Danio rerio: one gene and its partners. The protein of the gene in region 2 purifies or fractionates together with the protein of the main gene of each other region. This does not show direct contact. Links are inferred from orthologs where the notes say so. Each region holds a gene or a part of one and is shown on either strand. Other genes may lie near its edges.

Region 1 (3,760 bases), on a different chromosome or scaffold from region 2:
GATCTGAACCATGCTGAACCTTTTGACACTTGAATACCAAGACAGAAAAGCCTCCAAAGATGATGCTTAAAATCACTTATTGGCAGAGAACATTTGTCTTTTGACTTGATCTTTCAAAGTGAGCTGAGTTGAGAGAAGAGCAAGCGATGGGAAGGAAGTGTGGAAGGAGAATCAAATTTAAATGACAGATTGAAGGGAAACAAGATTTGTTGGTGTGAAATACACTGTATTTGTACTGTCCATATGAGAAGATCAAAGTATGTGAATTACACTAGATTCAAACGTACGCTCTCTGGTTTCCATTTTCATGTTATATTTTGCAGCAATTTCTCTCTTTTTGGTTAAGCATTATCTCCACTACTTTTTTAAATGGACATTTCTGTTACCTCAAACATGTTACTTGTGAGTTCATTCATTAATTTACCTTCAGCTAGTCCCTTTACTCATCAGGGGTTGCCACAGTGGAATGAACTGACAACTTACCCAGCATATGTTTCACACAATGGATTTCCTTCCAACTCCAACTCAGTACTGGGAAACACCCACACACACCCATTCACACACATCCACTATGGTCAATTTAGTTCATCCTATTGACCTATAGCGCATGTCTTTGAACTGTGGGAGAAATCAGAGCACCCAGAGGAAACCCTCTCCAACACAGGGAGAACATGCAAACTCCACACAGAATGCCAAATGGCCCAGCTGGGACTCAAACCACTGACCTTTTTGCTGTGAGGCGACAGTGCTAACCATTGAGCCATAGTGCCGCCCTAATAGTAAATATTGTACCCTATTAAATTTTTCATCCTTTCCATAAAAAAGTGTATTTGTGTAATCGTCCATGTCTCTGTTATTTATAAAAGCCACAGCACAGTCCCTGTTGAGTTTCTTGGATTATTGTTTAAGTTTTCTTATTCTTTCCTCTAGTGATAATACTGAAATGGGTAACATTATTTAGAAGATCTGTATCTTTACTAAATTAATTTAACATATGCTTACAATATCCTTTAATTTTTTGTTTCATTTTTTATACTTTATTTTAAATATATATATTAAAACTTGCATTTACAAAATGTGTAAATATGAGAAAAAAAATCAAGGACTTGTTAAATAGGTATTTTTAAAACTCAATTTGAAACAAAATTTTAATTATTTGAGTCTAGTAATGGTTAATAAAGAAGGGATTAATGCATGCATAAATGCTGAACCACCTTCACAGCACTATTTTTCCACACACACTAGGGGGCAATGTAGAGTTTCACGCACGCGCAGTTGACCTTTGACCCTGCATAGGGAGACAGGCTGTGACGTCATCTCACAACTGGACTGGACCGACTGAATGAAGTCAGCTGACTTTTCATTGCTGCTCACGTTTCATCTCACTAAAGGACCCAGACTGTCTCATCATCTGAGGTATTTACTCTTTTTTTGGACAACCATAACATTTTCACGCTGTTGCGCTATTGCAGAAATGTACATTTAGATTAGCCAGCCAAAAAATAGGACTAACGTTAGGATTTTCCCCATTCTCTTTGCAGCCATTCATAATCCATAACATTCATAAACAGCTCATTATACTGCTGTATGTAGTGTATAATTGTGTTCTGTGTCGATCTGAATGTCCGCTTCGCCTCAGCGTGCAGCTCATTCTGTTTGCTTAACGTTATTACATGTTTGTTTTTATTGCAGCATTGGGAATAATCCTACTCCGATTGCTGAAATATTTAAATATATTGTATATAAAGAGATTTGAAATGCTTACAAACCTGTGAGATCAATCGGTTTAACTAACGGGACACGAAAAATGAGCAAAGATTTCAGCAAAGGTCAAATTCTATCGCAGCATCGCGATCATGTGATCATGCAGCATCTCTTTACAGATCGATCTCCTAAAGCGGCAAGCATTAAAAATATGTAATACACTGAAATAATGTATATTTAATAATATGTTATGTTTAATCTTGTCGTTTTTGACTTTGAAAAGATTCTATTTGGGCACTGAGATATGTAGTTGCCCGCTTAGAATATTTATCTGCTGCTTTCCAATTAACAACAACACGCTAGGTTTGCTGACTAACTCACATATGCTAAAATTGTCTGTAAACCAACACCCAAACAGGCAAAAGCAAAGTTTTACACTAAATAAACGAATTGTCTCTCTTAATCAAAAATCTCATATGAGCATCATGTGATTGTAAATTCACAAAAACATGGAAGTTCCACTGGTTCCTCATGAGGCTTTTAATAACCAGTAATGGCTATTTTTATGGATGATATTGTCAACGTCATGCGTTTTATTCTAGTCTTTGTGGGATAGTTAGTTGTCTGTTAACTATAAATGATTTGATCAATTTTAATTTAAATTCGGGACTACAAAATATAATGTTATCCACATTTACTCAACAGTTTTTCCTACTTCCTCACCATGATTTCTTTTTTTACAGTCAGTCAGTGTCATGTGCTGCTGGTCATGTGACTGAGTTTCATGTTAGACTTGTATGGAATGCTTTATAATATAAATTGGCTGTTAAACATTTGGTTTCCTTTTGCATTTTATATGACTTAACGTGTAACAGAAAATGTAACAGAAACATAATTTTAAATTATAGCTATGTTTATACCACTATATAGGAATAGGGATAAATACAACAACCACGTGGAGCTTATAGGTCTAGGAAGTGTAATATTAGGTACAGAAAGTAATCCAAATAATCATCTGCTTTATCTTTCCACGTTTTGTATAATTTCATATCAGACACATTAAAAATGGACTTCTCCAAGTTGGCCAAAATCCGAGATGAGGAGCGGGAGGGACAATTTGGATATGTGCATGGTGTATCTGGACCTGGTTAGTACAAATAAAAATGTCATAATATTTGATTTTAATTAATAGGTTACCATGAGTTTTTTTTTTTTACATTTTTTTTTCATTTTATGTTTTTAATATTTAAAGCTTTTAATTTTATTTTTCTCTATTGTTTCCTTTTTTATTTCCTCTTTTTTTTTTGTTAATATGTGACCAAAGCTGTTAATTATTTTTTGTTAATTTTATTTTTTTTCCTAAAGATTTAATTTAATTAATGTGACCATACTTTTTCCTTGTTAGGTTTTTATTAAGTATACCCGAATCTTTGCATTTTATTCTATATTATTGTTTAATTTTGTTGGGATATTATGTTGATAGGGTGTCTATTTTTATATAGTAGAGTTTTTTGTTTTGTTTTTAAATTTTTGTTTATTTTTCTCTTTTTAATAATTTTTTAATGTCACCAGATTTAATGATTTGTTTATTTTTAATTTTAGTTTTGTTGGATTAGTATGACTCTGGGTGCTCCGGTTTCCCCCACAAGTCCAAAAACATTTGGTTTAGGTGAATTGTGTTGGCTAAATTGTCCATAGTGGATGTGTGTGAATAGTTGTGTGTGGATGTTTCCCAGAGATGGGTTGCGGCTGGAAAGGCATTTGCTGCATAAAACATGGTCTGGATAAGTTGGCGGTTCATTCCACTGTGGCGACCCAGATTAATAAAGAGACTAAGCCGAAAAGAAAATGAATGAATGAATGGATTAATATGACACTTCTGATGAACATTTTTATTATAATATTTTTTCAAACCCATCATTTATTGAAGTTTATTTGAATCTTCGAGTCATTCATAGTACAGGTTCCACTAATTGTCACAATTCTTCTACTTGTGTTACAGTGGTGACAGCCTCCAGTATGGCAGGAGCTGCTATGTACGAGCTGGTGCGAGTGG
Region 2 (3,660 bases):
TTTATTATGTATTCTTTATCATATTACTTGTCAGGCATCTGTTTTTATATTGAAAATAAATAAATCAAATATCAGTGTGTAAAATGGCAAAAATGATTACAATGATGAATGATTACTCATTTGTTGCGGTAATTCTAACAAACTATAAAAACATGATAAAATACCATGTATTAAACCTAGAACATTTGCTTTCAGTGTCTAATATTGAAAGAAGTCTTGATTTTTGTCTTTCAGAGGCTGTATATGATGGGAATGGCCAACACAGTTTTTGAGGATCTTCCTGTCACTCTGCAGCAGATTCGTGGACGTCTGTCTCAGGACGGATCCGTTCTCACGTCCCTTCCTCTCGTCTCTCTCAGCCGCAACAATGAGGTAAACGCGTGCTCAAGTATTTCAGCATCAGTTTATTTTTTAGACTATGCAGTGTATATATACATAGCTATCCAGACATGAACTGTTTTTAGGCTGAAGTAGGAAATGGCTTTCTCTGACTTTATTTATTGATATGTGAAAGTACTTGTTACAGATTGAAACCGTGTTCAGAACGTGCATGTTGGGTTTGTTTTCCCACACCAAACTACATGCTGGTCTAAATATAAATGTGTGTGTGTGTTTCAGGCTGATCTTCTGTTCCTCTCTGAGGTTCAGGTGCTGTATGACATCTCAGCTCTGGTGAGTTTCACTACAACATATTATAACGTTTGTGAGAATATTTTAAGGGAACTGTTTTAAACAGGCAGTCTCCTACATGAATTTTAGTATATTTATCGTTGACTAAATTTGAAGATCTTATATGATCTGATTTTTGTTGTTATTTGTGTTTGGATATCGTATAAGTTATGGTATCGTATAAATTAGGTTTCATTTCTTAGTTTTTTTTCCTTAGTTCCGTCTTTCCAGTTGGGACAAAATTAGGGTTGGGCGATATGAGCAGAAGAAACCTATCACGATTTTCTTGAACAATATTGCGATTTCGATTTTAATCACAATTTTGACACACACAGACATGTGATTCTGAAACATATTTCCAAAGGAAAACAATTAGATCTTTATCAAAGACCTGTAACATGCCTCTAAAATAGACACAAGGCAAAAAAATTGAAATCACATTGTGATGGTTTAACAAGTTGGCTTTAGAACAGACCTATGGCAATACAAATAAATAGACTACTGTGTGTGTGTGTGTGTGTGCCGTTAATTAAAAGTAAGGGTCCGATGTTCTGTCTGACCACATGTTTAAGGTAGTTGCGTCTACTTTTCTACGAGTCCACAGATTTGTTTTTGCCATGCATAGGTCATAGGGCTGTATGATTAATCAAATCGGAATCGCAATTGGTTAAATCGCAAGAGGCTGCGATATAAATTATGTATTATTTAAGTTCCCTAACCCAGAGCAAATGCGTGACTGCGGTCTGCGTGTGACAGTCTTACTAGCCAGTTGAGTGAGCAGTTTGTTCTGCCCAATCAAAATTGCGCAGTTGAACTATGCAGAACGCCTACAATAAAAAAACAAACAAACAAACAGGAAAGCACGGACAAGTGTGATTATAGCATCTGCTACTTCAGAGGAATTAATAGATGAATTGATATGAAAAAGAGAAACAGCACTGGTAATATGAGAATATTTTAGTTTAAAACTCACACACACCGAATAAAAACATTTGTAGGAGCTGTCGCAGAATTGTTGCCACGGCCTACAGATTATTGAGGTGAAGCTTGACTACAAAATTAAATCGCAAATCTAATTGCAATCGCAATATTTGTCAAAAAAAAAAAAAAACGCATTTAGATCTTTTCCCCAAATCACACAACCCTAATAGATCATAGACCTCTTTGTGATGCTGCCATGAAACAGGATGTTCGCATATCGTGACTTTTAAGCGCACAAGTTCCTTATTTCCAATGGAGGCGCACGGCTTGCGCGAATATCGGAAGTGACGCGCGCACATATTCCATGCACACCAGGTTGAAAACATCTTTACTTTCAGAATGATCAACCGATCGGCTTTATACTTTGTGTGGAATATACACTTTTCAGTATATCAGTTTGGTGTTGGGTTGTCAAAGGTTCATAGGTTGCTAGGCAACCAATTGTTTTCTCAGAGGATGACAAGCTGTCGCTTTGATACAAGTTTTATTTATGGAGAAAATTATAAAGCACTGCAGTGTTTGGCTGTTCTGTGTTTGTCTAAGATAATTAGTCCACTAAAATTTGTATGTTCCATACAAGCTGAAGGGTCAGCTCTTGTCACGTGACTCGCGGTGCGAGTTTGTGAGTCCTTCCCTGGGCATTTCCCCTTCGCAAAAAGCTTTCCAAAGACGTCTGTTTCTTACTCATTTTGCTGCTTATGGGTTAAATTTGGGGCACTCAAGTTACAGAGAGAATACAGTGATTTTTCAAAATAAAAGATTGTTCAGACTCAGATAATACATAAAACAGAAATAATTAATGATTTCTTTGTGGTCCAAAACCAATTGATTCAATGTCCGGTACCGGTCTGGGGCCTGGTGGTTGAGGACTGTTAGGCAAATTTAGAAATTGCACAAATGTGCGATTTCGAAACGATTTCAAATAATCGCACAGCCCTAGAAAAAATGTCAACATTTTCTTCATTATTTGATGTAGCCGGATTTTTGTAGGACCTCTTTGTGTTGTTTTGTCTATAGAAATCTCATAGTACATCAACTGTTTGCTCACACTTTACAATAAGGTTAGATTAGTTAATGTATTTACTAACATGAACTAATGCTGGTTTCACATCAATGGCGGAATTACTTTTCGCACAAGTAAATTACGTAAAAAAAATTTGTAAACGCGATTAAAGGTAAATTACTGCCACGTAGTGCGAATAATGCAGAATGACTGATGCGTTTGCTGCAAATGTGTGGAATTCACCTCAATTGCATCGTTTCAACATGTTTGAATAATTGATATTAAGTGAAAAATTTGTGTGAGGAGAAACATCCCGTGAGTAAACTAGAGCTATGATGCGCTGCTCCAGACTTTATGTAAACCCAGCATTAAAATGAAAGATACTTTGCCACAGCATTTCTTTAATATTGATCAACATTTACCAGTGTTATTAAAATCCAAATTTATGTTTGTTAACATTAGTTAGTCGGGAGTTAACAAACTACCAACCGAATGTTCATTAGTAAATGCAATCTTCTTGTAAAGTTTTTCCAACTAATTCCTTTGAAAATTGTTTAAAAGAATCTCTAAATCAAATCTATAATTAAATAAAATGACAGTGGCAGTTTTAAAGTATAAAAAGAATTGTGCTGATATTTCCACTGAGGATTGATCGTTTCTGTGTTGTTTGAACTGTTCGTTTGCTACAGTTGCAGAAACACAAGCATCTGGCTAAAGATCCTGCTCCTGATCTTTACTCTCTGGAGCTGGCGGGACTGGAGGAGATTGTTCGCCGCTACGGCACAGACTCACCTCAGTACACCGACGCCATTAGGATCCTTACAATTGCTCTGCAGAAGGTATGATGTTACTACATAGGAAATTTACTGAATTATTTAGCAGGATTGTTCACCCAAAAATCTAAATTCACTCACTCTCTCACCCTCAAGTGGTTCCAAATCTTTGAGTTTCCTTTTTCTATTGAACACAAAAGATATTTTGAAGAAAACAGAAACTATTTACTATAT
Region 3 (3,760 bases), on a different chromosome or scaffold from region 2:
TTTTTACAGATGTATCATAATGCGTGTGAATGTGTGCGAATCATTAGCAGTATTTCAAAAATTGACAGATGGAAAACACAGAAACGTACCTCAAGATTCTGGAAGACACTATCCTGTTTGTTTCCAAATACTCCTCCATACATTGTAAAGTCATCAACACTCAACTGAATGAAACAGAGACAACATTCACCAAAATAAAACTGTAGTCTCACTTGAATTTTTGAAGCACATAGTAGTAGCATTGCCAATGCCTTTAAAAACATTTCTTCTGCCAGAGTTTCTAATAGTGCAGTATTCAGAAATGCATAATGTTGTGTGTTTTTTTAAATGCAGTGTATGACGGAATCATATGACACATTATCATTAAGTGAAAATAAAGGAACATTCGTTTATTTTGCTTCTTTAGCTTAGTCTATTCCTATTCCTGTTAACTATTTCAGTATTTTTTTAATGCAGTGGGTACCCTGCCAGCCAGAACCCAGTATTGAGAAACACCCATACATTCATTCACACACACATACATACACTACGTCCAATTTTGTTTACTCAATTCACCTATAGCACGTCTTTGGGTTTTGGGGGAAACCAGAGCACCCGGAAACCCACGCAAACATGGGGAGAACATGCAAACTCCACACAGAAATACCAACTGACCATGCCACCAATATAGGAATATTTGAAATTCGACTTATTGCATATTTTTATTGTATTTTATCAACATGTGGTAATGCCCTGGCATGCTTTAGTAATCACTCATCATTGAAAGACATGACTGAATTATTCATATGAGAATAAAGTCATTATTTGAAATAAATGACATTTATGGCTGTACAATGACAATACATATCGAATGGACAAAATAAAAAGTCTATCATCTCATATTATGCTCTGCTATTTATTTCGTGGTGCCACAAAATGCATTGTTTACAGTAATACTTTTTTATAACTTATATGATTATTTAAATTACGTAATTTATAAGCAATATTACATGCCATGTGGCACCACGGTGGCGCAGTGATTAGCACGATCGCCTCACAGCAAGAAGGTCATTGGTTCGAGCCCCAGCTGGGTCAGTTGGCATTTCTGTGTGGAGTTTGCATGTTCTCCTTGTGTTCGCGTGGGTTTCCTCTGGGTGCTCTAGGTTCCTCCACAGTCCAAAGACATGCAGTATAGGTGAACTGAATAAGCTGGATGATTCCCAGCTTTGTGTTGCGGCTGGAAGGGCATTTGCTGCATAAAACATATGCTGGATAAGTTGTCGAATTATTCTGCTGTGGTGACCACTAATTAATAAAGGGACTAAGCCGGAAAAAAAAAGAATGAATTACATGTCAATACGGGAATGCAGACAGAAACATGAATAACTGTATTGCGAGAAAGTTGTAATCTTGAAAGTACTATATTTACATTGTGCATTTTATTTCGCAACATATTTTATGTTGGACATGTAATCATTCATTTTTTAAAAAGTATTATATTTGATCAATATCTATTTAAAATTTCTATAAATTTAATCAAACATTTGCCCGGAATGTCTAAATAAATGAACAAATGAGTCAATTTCTGAGTATATACTTTCTACAGTCTTTTACATCTCCTTTTATAATACTGATATAAAAAAAATTATATTTTTGTGTAATGTGTAATGTAGTGTTTACTTTATCCTGCAGGAAGAGCAGTAGATTATGAGGTGTTGCGCTCAAAGCTGTGTTCAGGTATGATTCCAGCTCATCCATAGACACAGTGTGACCTGCTGACGGCGCGTTCACAGGAGACAAGACAAACCTACACAAGCACAAACTACTGTAAGAAGACAGGCCTAGAAAAAACGCATGCCATGATTATACTACAACTGCATATTATGGTTATCTTGAACCAAATATGTAATACTGTTCAGCTTTTACAAAAATCCCCCAATAAGGGCTAAAGCCAGCTGCCAATGAACCCCTTTCCAATACATCTATTTATAACAATCAAACGGAGATTACGTGTTTTTTTCCCCAACTAAACCTTTTAACCAAGTTTTTTTTTTTTACCAACATAACATTACCACACAAGTGACAGTCCTCAACAATATAGTATATATATATACATAAATATCGAGATAAATTAGTAAATGACTCAGACTGTTCGATGATTCAAACGTTTAAGCTCATACTAAATGTGTTCCTCATGTTTTCAGAACTGGACAGCGACCGCGTCATTCAGCTAGCAAAGCATGAAAGCTAACCATCGCTTTCACGATTCTCCGTGACTGTACTCTTATAACATGCGTCCTTTACCCGTCACTCGCCCATGCGACCAGCGGGACTTGTTCATCACTCTTCGCTGCTGCGAACAAACAGATAAAAACGTGTAAAATCATCCTGGCGTTGACGCAGACTCTCCCTACAGCAGCCATCTTCAGTGCGATAAGCCCTGACGTCACAACCGGCCATCTTCAGCGGCGGAGCCGTGATGTCACGACCGCGTGATGAGATGAATTTGTAATCTGTTTTAAAAACGCTACTTTATGCATTGCTGTTTGTTTTATTCTTAAATGTAAACAGACACAGCATGACTTGTTTAGTAATGTTTTTTGATTTTATTTAGCCAGTTATAAAACCAATGATAAAATATTGATGGCTTGCTTTGTCTTACCTTAAAAGAAATAGTAGGCCTGTGTGAGTATGTTAAATAGCAAATTTCCAAATAATGTTTAAAGGGAAAAAAGAAGTATATATATATATATATATATATATATATATATATATATATATATATATATATATATATATATATATATGTGTGTGTGTGTGTATGTATGTATATATATATATATATATATATATATATATATATATATATATATATATATATATATATATATATATATATATAATGTTAAAGAGGAGAAAAGGAAGTAAATATATATCTATTATGTTGAAATAATCATCTCTCTGGTGACATCATTTGACCTTCTTTCTATTTCCTGGAGATCTACAAATAAAATCTCATTGTAACTCTACTTTCACTTTTAAATTATAGTCATTTTGTCATGATTTCATGTGAAGCTTTTAGTTCTGGTGGTGTGACATTTAATCCTTAAGGAATTGTTGAAAATAACTATATGCACACACACACACAGACACACACACACACATGAACGCACGCACACACACAATATTTCATGTACTGATGCTACTAGTGTAATTAATCATCATAAGTTAATCTAATTGAATAATTTGCTGACATTGATCAAAAATCAAGTATGAATGCTTTCTTTAAAGGTCGCTTTATCAATTCACTCCAACAATTCATCCCACAGATAAGCAGCAGTAAGAAAACTTTTATTCAGATTTTCCATTGTCCATTCCATTCACATTTTCATCACATAATTTATAAATAAATCACAGTTTGGCCAGCTTTCATTTTTATTATACATTTTTAGAAATAGCTTCAGGTGTGTATTTCTTCCTAAAAATGTATTTTACAAAATAATAATACATTTGACTTGCTTTTTAGTCTAGGTCAATGCATCTTTTTGTTGATGTAGGAGTAGTTTTGATTTTGTATCATAGTACATCACTATATGTTTTCTCTGTCCCACACTGGCAAGCTAAAATTACAAAATGTGTTGTCAGATATAAAATGCATAGGTACACCTGAGAAAAAAACTGATTAAGGTTTTGTATTTACAGTCAGTATTTTGTATTAAATACCGTCAAACACCGCATCAAAAATAAAAACTGTAGTACAAAAACCGCTAGTTTTGTCATT

The links. The genes of interacting proteins can lie anywhere in the genome.
Region 1: the proteins of atp6ap2 (region 2) and atp6v1ab purify together in Homo sapiens (co-immunoprecipitation; 3 studies listed by BioGRID and IntAct, with this or other methods). This does not show direct contact. The link is inferred for Danio rerio from reciprocal best matches to the Homo sapiens genes ATP6AP2 and ATP6V1A.
Region 3: the proteins of atp6ap2 (region 2) and atp6ap1a purify together in Homo sapiens (affinity purification with mass spectrometry; 5 studies listed by BioGRID and IntAct, counting the BioPlex papers as one, with this or other methods). This does not show direct contact. The link is inferred for Danio rerio from reciprocal best matches to the Homo sapiens genes ATP6AP2 and ATP6AP1.

What each region holds. Positions count from the first base shown.
Region 1 is NC_133199.1:25,049,962-25,053,721, reverse strand, and holds the start of atp6v1ab (V-type proton ATPase catalytic subunit A), read left to right. Parts: upstream 1-1,354; 5' UTR 1,355-1,416; intron 1,417-2,758; 5' UTR 2,759-2,769; coding exon 2,770-2,851; intron 2,852-3,706; coding exon 3,707-3,760. UniProt on the Homo sapiens protein: Catalytic subunit of the V1 complex of vacuolar(H+)-ATPase (V-ATPase), a multisubunit enzyme composed of a peripheral complex (V1) that hydrolyzes ATP and a membrane integral complex (V0) that translocates protons.
Region 2 is NC_133197.1:10,778,525-10,782,184, reverse strand, and holds part of atp6ap2 (renin receptor), read left to right. Parts: intron 1-234; coding exon 235-372; intron 373-618; coding exon 619-672; intron 673-3,342; coding exon 3,343-3,492; intron 3,493-3,660. UniProt on the Homo sapiens protein: Multifunctional protein which functions as a renin, prorenin cellular receptor and is involved in the assembly of the lysosomal proton-transporting V-type ATPase (V-ATPase) and the acidification of the endo-lysosomal system.
Region 3 is NC_133198.1:4,945,418-4,949,177, forward strand, and holds the start of atp6ap1a (ATPase H+ transporting accessory protein 1a precursor), read right to left. Parts: upstream 2,447-3,760; 5' UTR 2,403-2,446; coding exon 2,284-2,402; intron 1,787-2,283; coding exon 1,660-1,786; intron 165-1,659; coding exon 90-164; intron 1-89. UniProt on the Homo sapiens protein: Accessory subunit of the proton-transporting vacuolar (V)-ATPase protein pump, which is required for luminal acidification of secretory vesicles.